Oryctolagus cuniculus: one gene and its partners. The main gene of each other region encodes a partner of the protein of the gene in region 4 in a complex. Links are inferred from orthologs where the notes say so. Each region holds a gene or a part of one and is shown on either strand. Other genes may lie near its edges. The genes, in order: ARHGDIA, RIPK2, TRADD and NGFR.

Region 1 (4,207 bases), about 25 Mb from region 4:
TCCCATGGTTTCCCGCGCCGTGGTCACCGCCCACCCCAAAGAGGGCCGAGCAGACGCGGGTCCTCGGGGCAGTTTATTTCCCAATTGGGGGAGGAGAAGCGGGGGCTCCTGCGGCTGTGGAGGCCGAGCCCGGCAGACGCCACACGGAGACTGGGGGGAGGCACGGGGACGGCCCCCAGCGGTGTGCACTTGGTCCCAGGTTTGTCCTGCAGGGTCCGGGAGGGCCCAGGACGGCACGAACAGAGGCAATAAATACTGCGGCCCGGAGAGCAGGAAGGCTCGGCCGCACCGTCTGCCGGGGGCTCTGCGGGGGAGGGGTCAGTGCTGGCCGCTGGGACAGGGCAGGCGGAGGTGTGGGACGCCTGCCCCCCCCCCACGGGACAGAAGTGCCTGGCGTTTGGCAACGTGGCCCGCCCCAGCGGCCGGGGGACAGGGGTCGGCTGGCCAGGCCAGGGGGCTGGGGGGCAGGGAGGCGGCACTGGCGCCCCTCCCCTGTCGCGGGGGCGGTGGGCGGGGCAGACACGGGGAGTGAATGGCAGCTCCCGGGACGCATTCCACACGTTAAGGCATCATGGTTAGACGGTACTGAGCGACAGATGAACTGGCCGGGGAGTGGATGGGGCTGCCTCACGCACCCCAGCTCCCGCGCGGCCGCCCCGCTCCCTCCTAAGGGCCAGGGCCGCGGGCGTGGCGGTGGGGGGGGACCTGGGGAACACAGCGGGCAGGGAGACTCGGGCCGGGCCTCCCCCGGCAGCACAGGCAGAAGCAGCAACGGCAGACCACCGCGGGCGGGGCCTGTGGGCGCAGGAGGGCCAAGGGGGGAGGGCCGCGGGGGCCCTGTCAGCACTTCGGTGGGGGGGCTCAGTCCTTCCACTCCTTCTTGATGGTGAGGTTCCACTCCCAGGACAGGTGGTCCGTCTTGTCGTCGTCCGTGAAGCGGGACCTGATGTTGTAGCTGCCGCGCGCCAGCATGCCCTTGGGCGCCTCCTCCATGGGCGTCAGGAACTCGTACTCCTCGGCCCGCGGCCCGTAGCTGCCCACCATGTAGTCGGTCTTGTCGACTGCGGGGCGCGGGGCGCGGTCAGCGGCGCGGGGCGTGGCCTCGGCGCCCCGCCCTTCCCGAGGGCGTGACCAGACTGGGCGTGGCCTCAGGCGTCCCTCCAGACCCTTTCCCACGGGGCGTGGCCACTCCTGCCCCCTCCCCAGGTCTGCCCCCATTCGCTCCCGGGGGCGTGGCCAGACGCGGGGCGTGGCCACGCGCACTCACTCTTGACGCCTTTCCTGTAGGTGTGCTGGATGTACTTCATGCCGGACACGATCTCTCGGTTCACCTGCGGGCGCCACAGCGGGGGTCAGCGGGGTCAGCGGGGTCAGCGGGCCCACGCCCCCGCGGCGCGCCCGGCCTACCCGGAAGGAGATCTTTATCCGGTACTCCACGCCCTCCTTCAGCACGAACGACTGCTTCTTGAAGCTCTCCAGGTCTCCTGTGCGGGGAGCACACGAGCGCACTTCCGCCAGGGCCCGCCAGGGGGCAGCCCCGCACCACATCACTTAGCGGAAGCAACAGGGTGGCAGCCAGCCCCACCCAGGGCCGCGGGCGCCCACTCACCGGTCAGGTCCAGCTCCAGGGGGCCCGGGGCCGTGCTGCACACCAGGGTCAGGCGGGTCACGACGACGTTCGGCACGCTGGGGTCTGGGGAGAGCCGGCCGGTGAGACCCCCGCCCGCCGCGGCCGCCGGGGCAGGCGAGGGCGGACAGGTGCCCCGCGGCCACACCCACTCACCCGCGGACACGGCCACGCGGCCCAGCAGGGCCTCCTTGTACTTGCGCAGGCTCTCGTCGTCCTTGTCCAGCTCCTGGATCTCCTGGATGCTCTTCTGCGCCGGCGGCTTGTAGTTGACCGAGTGCTCGTCCTCCTCGTTCTCCGCCGCGATCTGCGCCAGCTGCTCGGCCGTGGGCTCCTGCTCAGCCATGCTCGCCGCTCGCTGCCTGCACACCTGTGGGCGCGCAGGGCTGTGGCCGCCGGCAGCCGCCTCCCCCACCACGGCCCTCCCGCGTCCCGCGGCCGCCCTCGCCCGCAAGGCCTCTCCTGGCGCCCGCGCGTCGGGGCACGAGGGCCACCCCACGCCGAGGGGCTCGGACCCGAGATCCGGGAGGGGCTGCAGCGCCCTGCGCGCCCCGGAACCCTGAGCACCCACCGGCTCGCTCCGGGCGGGGCTGGAGGCGGTCAGAGCGCAGCGCACGCACAACGCCCCGCGCACAAACCGGGCCGGCAGCGGCGGCCGCGGGCTACAGCCAGGGCGGGGCCCGCACTTCCGCAGGGCCCGCAATCCGGGCGACGGGCGGGGCGGGGCCGGGGCGGCAGCGCCCGCGGCCCCCGGGAGGGGGCTTCGGGCCCGGCCCCCTGCACGCAGGGCCGCCGGAGCGCGCGCGGGGCCCGGGCGGCCCCCCGCCCACGCCCGCGGCCCCTCCGCACGTGGGGCCGCCGCCCCGCCCGGGCCCGCCCCGCGCCGGCCGCCGCTGTCAGCCCCCGCCCCGCCGAGACCCGCCGCGGGCGCAGGGCGGGGCGGGCGGGACAAAGGCGGCTCCTCCCCCGCGCCGCGGCCGCCGCCGGCGCGCCCGACCCGCTGCCCACCCGCGCGGCGCTCGGCCCCGCAGGGGCCACTCACCGGAGGGCTCGACCGCGTAGCTCTCGCGCTCCCTCCCGCAGCAGATGACGAACGTCGTCCGCCGCCCCGCCCGTCCGTCCGCCCGCCCGCCTGTCACTTCCGGGGTCAACGCGACTTCCGCTCTCGGCGGGCGGGCCGGCGGGGCTGCGCATGCGCGGCGGGAGCGCTGCGGCCAGGGCGCGTGCGCTGCGGGCGCCATCTTGCGGGCCGGGCCTCGTGGGCGCTTCCCGCTGGGCGGCGTGGTCCTCGAGGTGGGCGCCCGAGGGACCAGGACGCCTCCCGCGCCAGCCACTGCGAGGCCCCGCGGTCGGCCCTGTGGGTCGCCAGGCGGGGGGACACAGCTGCCCACTGCAGCGGCAGAGCGGGGGGGGGCGTCGTCAGGACCCCCGGGGTGGACTAGAGCCTGAAGCTTGTCCTTTTCTTTCTTTAATATTTATTTATTTGAAAGGCCGAGTTAGAGAGGTCAGATCTTGCCCCCGCCGGTTCACTCCCCAGGTGCACGGTCCAGGCCTCCCGCGCGGGAGACGCGAGGGGCTTGGCCCGCCCCGCCGACAGCTGCTGCAGGCGTCGGCGAGCCCCTCGGCGCCCTGGCTGGGGCTGGCACGGGACCCCCCAGTGCAGCCCCCGGAGCTGTCGGGGCCTCGACCGCGGCCCCCATCTGCTGCTCCTCGGCCGGAATCCGGTTCGGGGCAGCGCTGACCGGCACCGTGGCTCGAGCACCACTCGGGACGGTCCTGGTTGCTCCCTTCCCATCCAGCTTCCTGTTAATGGGCTGGGGGAGATCAGGCGACAGCCCAAGACCTGGGGTCCCTGGCACCCGTGGCGGAGACCTGGGTGGAGTCCGGCGCGTGGCCCTCGCTGGTTGGCTGCTCCCGCCTCCCCTGGAGGTCTCGGGGTTCCCTCAGCTCTGCCGTCCCTGCAGGGTTGGGCGGACCTGGCAGACGGGGCTCCATGGACGTGAGCGCCGGACAGAGGGGTCCCTGGACAGAGGGGTCCCTGGAGCAGGCCGGCAGGGCGACGCCCCGACACTGAATGGGCCTGAGCATCTCCAGCCACTGCCACTGCCCCCGGCCGCACTGCCCCCCCCCCCCCAGGCCGCACTGCCTCCCCTGCTCCCCCCCACACCCAGGGGCGGGTCTGGCTCTGGCTGGTTCGAGTCCCGGCTGCTCCTCTTCCGATCCAGCTCTCTCTGTGGCCTGGGAAAGCAGTGGAAGATGCCCAAGTGCTGGGCCCCTGCACCCGCATGGGAGACCCGGAAGAAGCTCCTGGCTCCCGGCTTTGGATCAGCGCAGCTCCAGCTGTTGGGGCCAACTGGGGAGTGAACCAGCGGATGGTCAAGACCTCTCTCTCTACCTCTCCTCTAACTCTGATTTTCAAAAAAAAAAAAAAAAAAAAAAAAAAAAAAATGGAGTTATCCTGGTTCAAATAAAAACATTGAATGCAACAGGGCCTGCCGTGTATACTCTGTTGCAAGGCCGAGGTGTGCGGCTTCTCAGAGCTCACGGCAGCGGAGGGGCCGAAGCCCAGTCAGAAACAAC
Region 2 (3,557 bases), on a different chromosome or scaffold from region 4:
TCTTGCAAATAGTAATTCAATACTTGTTTTGTCGATGAGGAAAATGAGGATTCTAGAAATTCAGTGACTTTATCATAGACTTAATTACTGTCAGAGCAAGAATAAGGAAACTATATTTTTGGGACTGGCATGGTGATATAGTGGATAAAGCTGCTACCTGCAATGCTCACATCCAATGTGGGTGCTGGTTTGAGTCCCAGCTGCTCTACTTCGGATCCAGTTCCCTGCTAATGGCCTGGGAAAAATAGTGAAAGATGGCTCAAGTGTTTGGGGCCCTGCCACTAATGTGAGAGACCTAAATGAAGATCCTGGCTCTGGCCTGGCCCAGCCAGGAGGTAAAACCAGCAAATGGAAGACCTTTCTCTGTCTGCCTCTCCCACTCTGTTATTCCCAACTTTCAAGTAAATAAATGAATCTTTAAAAAAATAAAAAAAGATTCTAGATTCTTCCTGACCCTTAATCTGGTACACTTTGCTGTAAATGATAGATTCGTAATTGAAAAATGTTTGTTTTCATGCTGTTAGTTTGCACAAATGAATGACAGATACATTTAAAATAAGATGAATGTTGGATAGTTCTGAGTGCAGCCTGCCAAAATGTTGTTATTAAAAATAAGGAAGTCAAAGTATTCTTACCTTCAAAAGGCTGTTTTCTGGATAACACCTCCCATGTGATAATTGCATAGCTGTTTAAGATAAAAACAAAAATTACATACATTATGAATTTTATACATTATATATGAACTCTGCATAATAACCTAAAATAGTAACTAATTTTAAAAGCTAACTGTCAAGATACCATTTTTGAAAATGACAAGGTAGTCAAATGCTGCTTAAAGAATTACCACATAAAACCAAGATGATGAATGGTCAAGACAGTTTTGTTTGGAAAGGAAATTAATATTAATTTGAAAAATTAGGGGAGGGCATCTGGCCTCAGAGTTAAAATCACGGTTGAGGTACTGGTACCCAGGTCTGGTTTCTATCTTCAGCTTCCTGCCAATGTAGACCCTAGGCACAGTGGCAATGGATCTGATAGATAGAGTTCCTCTCACCCATGTGTGAAACCTGGATTGATTTCCCAGCTCCTGGCCTTGGCCTGGTCACGTCCTGGCTAATGCAGGCATCTGGAGATGGAGCTAGTGAATGGGATCACTGTCTTTCAAAAACATTTTTTTTAGAAAATCACGGTAATAAAACTGTGAAGTTACATGCAAGGATATCCTTAGAAGGGTAACTCATTCTTGAATACTCAGATAAGCTATGCTCTTTAATTATGTGATCCTATTTTTCGCACAAAATAAAGAGCAATAAAAACACTGTCTCATGTGGTCCCATTCTAATGACTTTTTTTCCTGGTTTGAGTACTCTCTGCCTTCAAGGTAGTAACATTCTGCCTACAATTAACATCAGTTTTAAATCACCTGGTTTAGTCACACAAAGTTTGTATTTGGGATAAATGATTAAATAGGATATAGAAATTTTTCTGCATCCCCAAATTAACAATGCATTCAATAGGGACACTTGGAATTGACTAGTTACCAACCAACACATAATCCTAGAGGGAGAGTAAGGGTTACACAGGGAATTCTCAACCAAATCAAGGAGTAATATTTCCTCATTTTCCCTGCTGTGGAATACAGGAGTAGAGTATAAAGGCATACTTCACAAAATCAATGATAAGCAGATTTAAATAGATCTTTGTTTATAGAATCAACCCCGCTTTCAAAAATTATTGGTTACAGTATGATTTTTACCTTAGAAGATATAAATTACCCTCCTATATCGTCACAGTACATCATTCAAAATGAACTAAAGATATCAGAGAATAGAAAATACAAAAGAACTTTTATTCATACAGTAATGTGAATGTAAAAGACACTTGCTCTAAGTGCCTTAGCATAGCTACTAAAACTAGTTAGTTGGTACTGGATTTAATGAGAAGTAATAAAAATTAAATCATTTGGAGCAAGGGATACACAATTTAAATATGTAATTCTCTGGTAGAGAAATAGCATTTATTGTTAAATGCACCTTAATTTTTATCGATTATTTATTAAATATAGCAAAAATACTTTAAAAGGTTATAAAATGTGTTCATAGTATATGCTATTAATTCTGGTTTACATTAATTATGCATGTTAAAAGAAACAAGTACAGTTTTACATGAAATGAATGATTGGTGCCACTCCCTAATTCTGTGAATTATAAATTATCACCTTCCTTTCCTCTGGTCAAATATCCAATATCAAGAATAATGTATTATACTCATTACTGTTTTATACTTATTATAAGGTTGTAAGTAATCTGTATGTTAAACATGAAAACATGATCTTAATAAACACATATGACATATGCAAACATTAGGGATTTTTAAAACAAAAATCTCAGTTGGTTTAAGGATTTGTTTATTTTTGTAAAAAAAAAAAAGTCTAGATATCAGACAATAAATGGTAGAACAGGATGGGAAACTTAAAAGTAAAATGTTAAGAACAACTATTTCTCCCAAGTTACATACAACAAATAGGACAAAAAGATGTACTTTAAAATCTTTTAAAGAATATAAAAGTTGCTTAAGCAAGGCATTTTTAAATTGAGTAATACTAAACACTGTGGCCTCTGTTATTTTTTCAGCAGAGTTATGAGAGCTGCAAAATCCTGGTTGACTAATCTTGTATTTTAAATTAACTCTGAACAAAGGAATACACTGTACCTATATATGTCGTGCTTGACACTGGCCCTTGATTTCTGTCCAGGTTCATAGTTTTCAGGTGGCATATAGATAATTGTGCCTCCTTCTGGTGCAGATTTACTATTTCGTGACTGTGAAAGGGACATCATTCGCCATTTGGATAAACCAAAATCTGCAATCTGTATGGGAAAAATAGTAAATAATTGAATTTAAAATTTTTCTCTTTAAAAAGTCAATGAATTGAATGTCTTTGTGTATATCCATTGCATTCAGGTGTTAGATCAAAGGAAACGTTATATAAATATTTTATTTCTATATTTTCTAACCTGTTTTTTTTTTTTTTAATTTTTTTTTTTTGACAGGCAGAGTGGACAGTGAGAGAGAGGGAGACAGAGACAAAGGTCTTCCTTTGCCGTTGGTTCACCCTTCAATGGCCGCCGCAGCCGGCATCGCACTGATCAGAAGCCAGGAGCTAGGTGCTTCTCCTGGTCTCCCATGTGGGTACAGGGCCCAAGCACTTGGGCCATCCTCCACTGCACTCCTGGGTCATAGCAGAGAGCTGGCCTGGCAGAGGGGCAACTGGGACAGAATCCGGCGCCCCGACCAGGACTAGAACCCGGTGTGCCGATGCCGCAGAGGATTAGCCTATGGAGCTGCGGTGCCGGACTCTAACCTGTTTTTTTAAAAATAAAATTAAGTTCCACAGCAGTGAACTCAAGAACTCCAGAAGGAATACATACTGACTTGAGGTTTAACAGAATATTACAAGTGTCAAAAGACTAGTGATTTTTCCCTTCAGTTTGGTGCAAGTGTATACATTGAACACTTTATTTTTATGGTAAATAGCTTGATAGCATGTGCTTTTG
Region 3 (3,998 bases), on a different chromosome or scaffold from region 4:
GGGCCCCCATCTCTGGGGGGGAGCCCCTTCCACCTCCAGCATGTGACTGATGCCCTGGCAACAGGCCTCAGCTCTGCTGACTTGGCTGCTGGGGCCTGAGGGAGGGAGGGAGGGAAGTGCAGGCTGAGGCACAGGGGAGCTGACCTGCCCACCCCTGCCTGTGCCCGGTCACCCTGCACAGGTCCCTGATGCTGGATGAGGGGAGCTCCTGCCCGACACCCGCCAAGTTCAACACCTGCCCCCTTGCTGGTGCCCTCCTGCAGGACCCCTACTTTATCCAGTCGGTAGGTTCTCTTCTCCCCTCCCCTAGGGCCCAGTGGGGTGGATGGAGAGCCTTTCCCTTCCCCCCACTCCCAAAAGAGAAGATGGAGGCCAGGCTTCACCCCCAACCTGACCTGGGCTCCCCAGCATGGCCTGAGCGGCCCTCCTCAAACATTTTCCCTTAGACATGGTCCAGGTGGGCTCTGGTTAGCCTCTGGCTCTCCCTGTGGCTGGAGGTCAAGGGCTGGGTCTATTCTTCTCCTTACAGCCCCTCCCAGAGACTACCCTGGGTCTCAGCACTCACAGGGCCAGGGGCCCCATCATCTCTGACATCCCAGAAGACTCCCCATCCCCTGAAGGGCCCAGGCTGTCTCCCCCCAGTGGTGGCACGAGGTAAGGGGCTCGGGGCTGCCCTGGGCTGGGGGGAGCTTGGAAGGGGAGGGCCTGGCAGCCCAGGTGGCTGTGAGGGTGGGGGAGAGGTCAGTGCCAGGGTCTGGTTGAAGCTTTTCTCCGTGCAGGGAGAAGGGCCTGGCACTGCTCAAAGAAGAGCCGGCCAGTCCAGGGGGGGATGGCGAGGCCGGGCTGGCCCTGGCCCCAAACGAGTGTGACTTCTGCGTGACAGCCCCCCCACCGCTGCCTGTGGCTGTGGTGCAGGCCATCCTGGAAGGGAAAGGGAGCTTCAGCCCAGAAGGGCCCAGGAATGCCCAACAGCCTGAACCAAGGGGTCCCAGGGAGGTTCCCGACAGGTGAGCAGAGCCCATTCTTGACTGGCGGCCACCTCTGCAGGTGGAGCAGCACTAGTCAGGCAGGCCCAGCTGCCCGGCTGGGTCTGGCCCTTCATGGCGGAGGGGGAGAGTGGGCAGTGGGATCTCAGATACTGACCTGATTCCACCCAGAGTGCTCCCTGGAGCACCAGCGTCAGGGTTCACAGCAGGAACTCCCAGGCAGGTCACTCAGCGTCTCTGTGGTAGGACCCAGAAATCTGCATGTAAACGAGTTCACTGAAATCACTGTAAAATACACGATAGTTTAAGAACCATTGGTACTGACACTGGTGTGGGGAGGAGATGCCTCCCAAGCCCCCAGCTCCACAGCCCAAACCTCAGGTCCCAGGTGGGAAGCCCTCTGGTGGGGGGAGGGGCAGCGTAGCATTTTCTAGATGTTGGGGAATTTCATTCCTTAGGAACCTAATAGGGGGTGGGCACTGCAGGGCAATAGCGATTCTCTGTGCACAGGGGGCCTCTGGGCCTGGAGAGGGGGGACAGGAGCCCAGAGAGTCTGCTGCCTCCAATGCTGCTCAGGGCCCCTCCTGAAGGTGTGGAGCCTGCAGGACCCCTGGATGTGAGTACCCCTTTGGCTGGGGCACGGGCAGGAGAACCCCCAGGGCCCAGCTGTCTGGGCAGTACGGGGAGGGCACCACTAACCTGGCGTGCTCCCCAGGTGCTGGGCCCCAGCCTCCAAGGCAGAGAATGGACCTTGATGGACTTAGACATGGAGCTGTCCCTGGTAAGATGAGGGAGGGGATGGTAGGGGTCTGGGGTTGTGGACTCTCACCCTTTGGTCCGTGCTTTTTTGTGGGCCAAAGCCATATTGGCAGAGGCCTGCCCGGGGCTGGGGGTCCCCAGCTCTCCCCCTCAGCCACTGGCTCCCTGCCCAGCTACTTCCTGGGGTTCTCTCTTGCAGATGCAGCCGTTGGTTCCAGAGAGGGGTGAGAGTGAGCTGGCAGTAAAGGGATTAAGTTCTCCAGGCCCAGGTAATGTGGTGACTCAGGACCTGAGGGAGGCCATGACTGAGCAAGTTACCATGATGGGGGGGGGGGGGTGTTCTGCAGGGAAGCCCCCCGGCTTGGTCCAGCCACCCCCTCACCATGGCAGGAGAGGAGGAGGTTAGGAATGTTTCATCCTCACTGAGTGGTGGGAAGGGCAACCTTTCCTGGCTGCTGAGCACAAACCCACTCTTCCTAGGGAAGGACCCTACGCTGGGGGCCCCGCTCCTGCTGGATGTCCAGGCGGCCTTGGGAGGCCCAGCTCTCGGCTTGCCTGGGGCTTTAACCATTTACAGCACCCCTGAGAGCAGGGCCTCCTACCTGGGCCCCGGGGCCAGTCCTTCCCCTTGAAACCTGCAAGCAAATGAAGCCGGGCTGGCTGAGGGACCAGTCCACAGCGGCACACCCCCTCTCGGCTTCCTGGCGCCCCCTGGCGGGGGGTGAGTGAACCCCCTCTCCTTGACTCCGCGGCCTCTCTCCAGCACCCTGATGAGCCCTGCACATAAATTGCATTTTTTTCTGTGTTTCTGCTCTCTTTTCTCCGTCGACCAGGGAGGGAGCACAGGTGTCCTGGTGATGGAAGGGGAACTTTGCATTCGTAAAAGCGTCCAGGTGCTAGGGCTTTAATGGAAGAATCTCCAGAGAGTCATGGTACTTGGGAAGCGGGGAGGGGGCCAACCCTCTTACTTAGGCCGGGATCCAGGGCTCACGCGTGGCCCCTGCAACCTCTGGGACGCACCCTGCCCAGCGATGCAGCGCTCTGTGACCACGAGTCGGTCGGTCCCCTTCTCTGAGCCTCGTCTGGGACAAGCAGAGAGGAGGGAGGTCGATGAGAGGAGAGCTGTGAAGCGCACTGACAACTGGCAGGCCCAGCGTGGGCGCTGGCTACGTGGGGTGCGGGCCCAACTGCCTCCTCCCCAGCTCATCTCCCGGGGAGCCCCGCGGGCAAGCGGAGCCCGGCTCCAGGTGCTGGGCAAGGACGCCCCCGCCCCCCGCCATTCCCGGCAGCCCCGGCCGTCCCGCCCCCGTCGCAGCTGTTGCTCCCACCCCCACCCCGCCCGGCCCTTTCTGCACCGTCATCTCCCGCCCCGCCGAGGCCCGACCCGTGAGCGGGGCCGCCCGTAGCGGACCCGACTCGGAGCCCCGCTCCTCCCGGCTGGGGGCGGGAAGGGAAACAGATTGGGCGGAACCAGCCTCACCACCCGCAGCCGCCACGAAGGTGGTCTGTGAGCCCCGCCCCGCCCCGCCGCAGGACTCGGCGGCTCCGGCGCTGGGCGCTGGGCGCTGGGGAGGTAAGGGCAGCTGGGCGGTCGCACATGCGCAAAGGCGCCCGCTGTTTCCCACGACCTCCGGCTGCCTAGCAGAAGAGCCGGAGGGTGCAGCAGGTGGGGATGGGGAGTGGGGGGAGGGCGGGAGCCAGCTTCACGTCTCGCCGCCTGGTGCCTTGGGAAGCATCTGGCCTCTGACCCCTGCCTTAACTTCGGGGTTCACCTTAGAGCTGTGAGCGCTGCTGGCTCTCCGCTCCGCACGCCTTGCACGCACAGGGCTGGTCTCGGGGAAATGAGGTTAACATGAAGCAAGTTAGAGAGGAGGGAGACAGGAGGACTGGGCGACGCAATCTGCGCACCCCTCCGTGTTACCCAGAATAAGTGCCGCTCCGCTCTCCCTCCCGGTGCCCGCCGTTGGCCGACCGTCCGAAAGCCGCGTTTTCGCAGCGCAGGGATGTTAGTTAAGGTCAGGAGTGCGGGTATGCCTTGCTCACTGGGATACCCGGAAGAAGGAACTACCTTGGGACACTCTGGCATTGGAGTGGACAAGGGAATATTTGAGTCTTGGGAGAAGTGGAGGGAGGGGAAGGGCACGCCAGGCTTGGGGAACAGCATCAGCAAAGGCTCAGAGGTGCCCGGGACATAGTGACACCACTCTGCCTGGCCGAATGGTGAAGGGAAATGAGGAAGGACCTGGCCGTCAG
Region 4 (3,557 bases):
GACAGCAGACAGGACATGCCAACGAGGTGACAGCGAGGGCACCGGGCTCCCCAGCTCTGCCCCGCCCGGGCCTCAGCTTGCCCACCCAAGTGGGAGTCCGAGCTGCCCACCGGTCTTCGGGGCTCAAGGTGAAAATGCTTCAAAGGCCCCCGTTTTCACACCTTCCAAGGGGAAAGGCCCCCAGATGTGAATCTGGACTCCACCTGTATGGCAGTGGGGAGGGGGCTGCCATCTGTTGCCCATCCTCCCCTCCGCCATCTCAGTCCTGGGAGGGGGTCAGGTGGGAAGTGGAGAAGACACAGCCCTGTCTCCCGCAGCCTCAGACTAGGGAGGGTCTTTGGGGGTCCTGAGAGGGGACTGGGCAAGCTGGGGGCAGCTGGAGCCGGGAGGCTGAAGATACAGCTCAGCTCAGACCCGCTCTGGCCCAGAGACTGAAGGAGTGTGGGTGGGGTGAATCCGGCCATTACAGAAGAGAGCCCTGGCGAAGGAAAACGAGAAAGGGCTCTGGGGACAAGTCAGACTGAAGACTGAGCCGCTGCCCAGGCGCGCAGCCTCACCTCACCTCCCCCTTCTGATGTGGGCCAGGATGAGACCCAGATGTGGCCGCGTCCACTCACATTCCAACCCGCTAAGCCCTTGGCCAGCCCTGACAGCCATTTCCGGAATAGGAGCTGTTAGACCTGCGTTGGGAGGAGGGACCGGGTCACCCCTCCTAAACCTGAATCTCACTGAGGGGTGGGGAGGTGGGTGAGTCACCCTGTTGACACCTGAAATGTATACGCAGGCAAGCTGGGGGTGCACCAAACCAAGACTCAGATTCCATTTCCTGAAGTGGTCCCTCGCCCCCACTCCCTCCACCCCCCAGCTTCGGAGGCTGGAGCTGAAAGGGGAGTAGGGGCAGGAGCAAACACATCCTCCGGGGGCATACTCCTCCTTGGGAGGTGCTGGGAAAGTGGGGTGGTACCTGGGAGGCATCCGTAAACCCCCGCAAAGGCAGAGCCTGCCTCCCCCTCCCCCGCAGCCACCCTCTTCGCCTCTAACCACGCCCCTGACTAAGGCCCCCGCTGGCTAGTCCAGTCTTGCCCCATGAACTGCACTGCCCCTTGTGTGCTGGCTGGCTCCCTCCCGGCTCTGCCCGCTGCCTGCCCCCTGGCCCCAGGCAATGGCACCAGCACCTCCCCGTTCTTCCCTCCTTCCCCCCTCCACCCTTTTCTAATGCAGCAAGCTTCAAGCACACACCTGGCCTCAGCCCCGCTTCAGAGCCCGCCCGGCACCTGAGCACCCAGGGCCAGGATTACAGGACTTGGAAGGCAGGGATGGGTGTGTGGGGGCCTCTTTCCAACTGGGGGGCCCTCCAGGGTCCGGGGATGTGTGGAAGGAGGGGGCTGATGGAAGGCAGAGGCTGTGCTGCTTCCATCGGAGTGGGAGGTCTCCCAAGTTCCCAGGGCTGGGATAAGTGCTGGGGCCAAGTCTCCCTCATCAGACTGGAGCCAAGACGGTCTCTGTCCTGAAGGGGGCGCTGTGCTCCCCGCTCAGAGAAATGGCTCAATGGAGGCCTTGGCCAATGGGTGATGGACAGAACATAAAGTCATCTCCCCTGCAGGCGAGAAGCCCATCCGCCTCGCCCAAGATGGACATCATCCAGCAGAGCCCAAAACAGCTATGCCCCAGCTCCCACCGCGTCTGTTCCTCTCATCCGGGAGCCACCCTATCTCCCGGACCCCTGTGCCTGGCTAAGCACTCTCATCCACTCTGGAAGCTGCGCGCCCTCCTGTTGCCAGCCGCACTGTGTGTTCCCTACCCCAGGAACCATGGGAACCACATGACACAACCACCCTGGGGACAGATCCAGAGACAGAGGTGACCCCCCTAACATCACTCAGCAGCGACAGGGTGGAGCCCATCCCAGGCAGCAGAGCCACCAGGGACCTAGATGAGGTCTCAGAGCCAAAGGGTCCCTGCCCCTGAGTCCTCCAGCCCTTTTCCAGCTCACGAAGCCCACCACAAGGGTCTTGCATGTCCCACTCTGTGCCCTGTGGCCATCTTCCGGCCACCACCGGCGACCCGTCCAATCTCCAGCTGGCAGCCATGGGTGAGTGAAGTCCCGGGGAGCGAGCTGGGACGCAGTAGCTGCACTCCGAGTCGGTGATACAGTTGGCTTTTCCCCGATGGGGAGCCCCAGGACGCCAACAGTGAGAGGAGGGGTCCTTCGGTGGGATGGGCTTGGGAACATTGCCCTCCCTGGGGTTTCCGGGCTAGGACAGGGCCTTCTGGTCAGTGCCCCTTCCACTCCTCCCCACCTCGCTGCCCAGAGGGCACCCGGGCCAACCGCTATCGCCCCCACCCCCGACCCCGCCACTGCTCTCACCCTCGCACTCAGCATCGGCCCAGCGTGAGCACTCGCGCAGCTGGCGCTCGGTGTCCTCGCACACGGTGCACGGCAGGCACGGGTCCACGTGGTTGGCCTCGTCAGAGTAGGTGCCGTCGGGGCACTCCTCACACACCGTGTTCTGCTTGTCCTGGCACGAGAACACCAGGCCCGAGCCCGCCTCGCACACGCGGCACGCCTCGCAGCGTCCAGTCGTCTCATCCTGGTAGTAGCCGTAGGCACAGCGGCACACGGCGTCGTCCGCCTCCACGCAGGGCGCCGACATGCTCTGCAGGCCCACGCACTCGGTGCAAGGCTTGCACGGCTCGGTGGCGCTCACCACGTCGGAGAACGTCACGCCTGCGGGCACAGGGACAGCCGGGCAGTGGCCTGCACCTTGAGCACTCGAGTACAGGGTGCACCTGTGATCTCTCCCGCCCCCGCGGCTCTGGGATCCCTGGTGCCAGCTGCCCTGGGAAGGTAGCTAAGGGCCCCATTGTCCAATTCCCAAGAAGCACAGGCCCCCAGGCTCCCGGGGGTAGCCCAGCTGGTGCCGCCAAATCTCTTGGCAAGTTCTTTTTGAGAATTCTCTTGCTGCCTGGGTGATTAGGGAGAGAACTGAGCCCAGTCCCCACCCAGCCTACCCAGCCCTTCCGGGGGCCTGAGCAGGGCTGTGAACCCAGCCCGGGCAGGCCAGCCTGCCCCTAGGGAGCCTCCGCCTGGGAGTCACTCAGGCTCCCACCCAGGGTGCCTCCCCACCCTGCTCCAGGGCTCGGCCTGGGAGGGTGGGGACCGGAGTCCAGGCCAGGAGAGTTCAGGTACAGCAGGAGGGCTGAGGCTGGAAAGCCAGGACTTGCGTGCAGTCAGCGAGTGGCACAAAGGGGAGATTTGCAAACTTCCTCTTGACTCACGCTCTTAATGAAGGGAGGTGAGCTCGGGAATCAGCGGAGAGAGTGGAGATGCCGGGGTGCGAGGGAGCCGGGGGCGGGGCCAGGCCTTCCTCCCCTCTGCAGCCCAGGGTGGGGAACACGGTCCCACCCTTGCTCCCAGGGCTGGCAGAGCTTGGATTTAGAAACCTGAGGACCAGGGAAGGCGGGGCTGTCTGGAGCATGGAGGGGGTGGGAGGGAGGAGCCCAGCCGAGGGAAACTGAGGCAGCCATGGGGTCAGGTCTCTCCCTTAACTAAAAGC

What was found.
Region 1: the proteins of NGFR (region 4) and ARHGDIA are in contact, whole or in part, in an NMR structure (PDB 8X8T), measured with the Homo sapiens proteins. The link is inferred for Oryctolagus cuniculus from reciprocal best matches to the Homo sapiens genes NGFR and ARHGDIA. Residues at the interface, in NP_002498.1 of Homo sapiens: Arg274, Trp275, Ser277, Cys278, Lys279, Gln280, Lys282, Gln283, Gly284, Ala285, Ser287, Arg288, Pro289, Val290, Asn291, Gln292, Thr293, Pro294, Pro295, Pro296, Glu299, Lys300, Leu301, Ile307, Ser308, Val309, Gln312, Ser313, Asp316, Gln317; in NP_001172006.1 of Homo sapiens: Ala8, Glu9, Leu11, Ala12, Gln13, Ile14, Ala15, Ala16, Glu17, Asn18, Glu19, Glu20, Asp21, Glu22, Val25, Pro30, Ala31, Gln32, Lys33, Ile35, Gln36, Glu37, Ile38, Gln39, Glu40, Leu41, Asp42, Lys43, Asp44, Asp45.
Region 2: the proteins of NGFR (region 4) and RIPK2 are in contact, whole or in part, in an NMR structure (PDB 2N83), measured with the Homo sapiens proteins. The link is inferred for Oryctolagus cuniculus from reciprocal best matches to the Homo sapiens genes NGFR and RIPK2. Residues at the interface, in NP_002498.1 of Homo sapiens: Gly334, Leu335, Ser338, Leu339, Pro340, Lys343, Val347, Ser354, Ala355, Asp357, Arg360, His361, Gly364, Glu365, Tyr368, Pro370, Ile373, Asp374, Leu398, Asp399, Leu401, Leu402, Arg406, Arg407, Ile408, Gln409, Arg410, Ala411, Asp412, Val414; in NP_003812.1 of Homo sapiens: Gln437, Ser465, Arg466, Asp467, Leu468, Met470, Glu472, Asp495, Ile496, Gln497, Gly498, Glu499, Glu500, Lys503, Ile523, Leu524, Val526, Ser527, Arg528, Ser529, Pro530, Ser531, Leu532, Asn533, Leu534, Gln536.
Region 3: the proteins of NGFR (region 4) and TRADD are in contact, whole or in part, in an NMR structure (PDB 7CSQ), measured with the Homo sapiens proteins. The link is inferred for Oryctolagus cuniculus from reciprocal best matches to the Homo sapiens genes NGFR and TRADD. Residues at the interface, in NP_002498.1 of Homo sapiens: Glu345, Glu346, Glu348, Lys349, Leu350, Asn352, Gly353, Ser354, Ala355, Glu379, Ala380, Cys381, Arg384, Glu420; in NP_001310481.1 of Homo sapiens: Thr201, Phe202, Asn211, Ala275, Glu276, Arg278, Arg279, Thr281, Gln283, Arg284, Glu287.

What each region holds. Positions count from the first base shown.
Region 1 is NC_091448.1:1,032,111-1,036,317, reverse strand, and holds ARHGDIA (rho GDP-dissociation inhibitor 1), read right to left. Parts: upstream 2,803-4,207; 5' UTR 2,670-2,802; intron 2,330-2,669; exon of another isoform or gene 2,199-2,329; intron 1,998-2,198; 5' UTR 1,974-1,997; coding exon 1,784-1,973; intron 1,694-1,783; coding exon 1,610-1,693; intron 1,485-1,609; coding exon 1,408-1,484; intron 1,332-1,407; coding exon 1,268-1,331; intron 1,062-1,267; coding exon 862-1,061; 3' UTR 61-861; downstream 1-60. UniProt on the Homo sapiens protein: Controls Rho proteins homeostasis. Regulates the GDP/GTP exchange reaction of the Rho proteins by inhibiting the dissociation of GDP from them, and the subsequent binding of GTP to them.
Region 2 is NC_091437.1:115,014,917-115,018,473, reverse strand, and holds part of RIPK2 (receptor-interacting serine/threonine-protein kinase 2), read right to left. Parts: intron 2,871-3,557; coding exon 2,713-2,870; intron 686-2,712; coding exon 636-685; intron 1-635.
Region 3 is NC_091449.1:50,463,287-50,467,284, forward strand, and holds the start of TRADD (tumor necrosis factor receptor type 1-associated DEATH domain protein), read right to left. Parts: upstream 2,829-3,998; 5' UTR 2,714-2,828; intron 2,551-2,713; exon of another isoform or gene 2,378-2,550; coding exon of another isoform or gene 2,226-2,377; intron 2,015-2,225; coding exon of another isoform or gene 1,945-2,014; intron 1,768-1,944; coding exon of another isoform or gene 1,702-1,767; intron 1,603-1,701; coding exon of another isoform or gene 1,497-1,602; intron 1,244-1,496; 5' UTR 1,144-1,243; intron 1,008-1,143; coding exon of another isoform or gene 780-1,007; intron 655-779; coding exon of another isoform or gene 504-654; intron 285-503; coding exon of another isoform or gene 182-284; intron 1-181. Other genes in the region: HSF4 (heat shock factor protein 4), read left to right, coding at 182-284, 530-654, 780-1,007, 1,497-1,602, 1,702-1,767, 1,945-2,014, 2,226-2,377. UniProt on the Homo sapiens protein: Adapter molecule for TNFRSF1A/TNFR1 that specifically associates with the cytoplasmic domain of activated TNFRSF1A/TNFR1 mediating its interaction with FADD.
Region 4 is NC_091448.1:25,541,902-25,545,458, reverse strand, and holds part of NGFR (tumor necrosis factor receptor superfamily member 16), read right to left. Parts: intron 2,729-3,557; coding exon 2,369-2,728; intron 1-2,368. UniProt on the Homo sapiens protein: Low affinity receptor which can bind to NGF, BDNF, NTF3, and NTF4. Forms a heterodimeric receptor with SORCS2 that binds the precursor forms of NGF, BDNF and NTF3 with high affinity, and has much lower affinity for mature NGF and BDNF.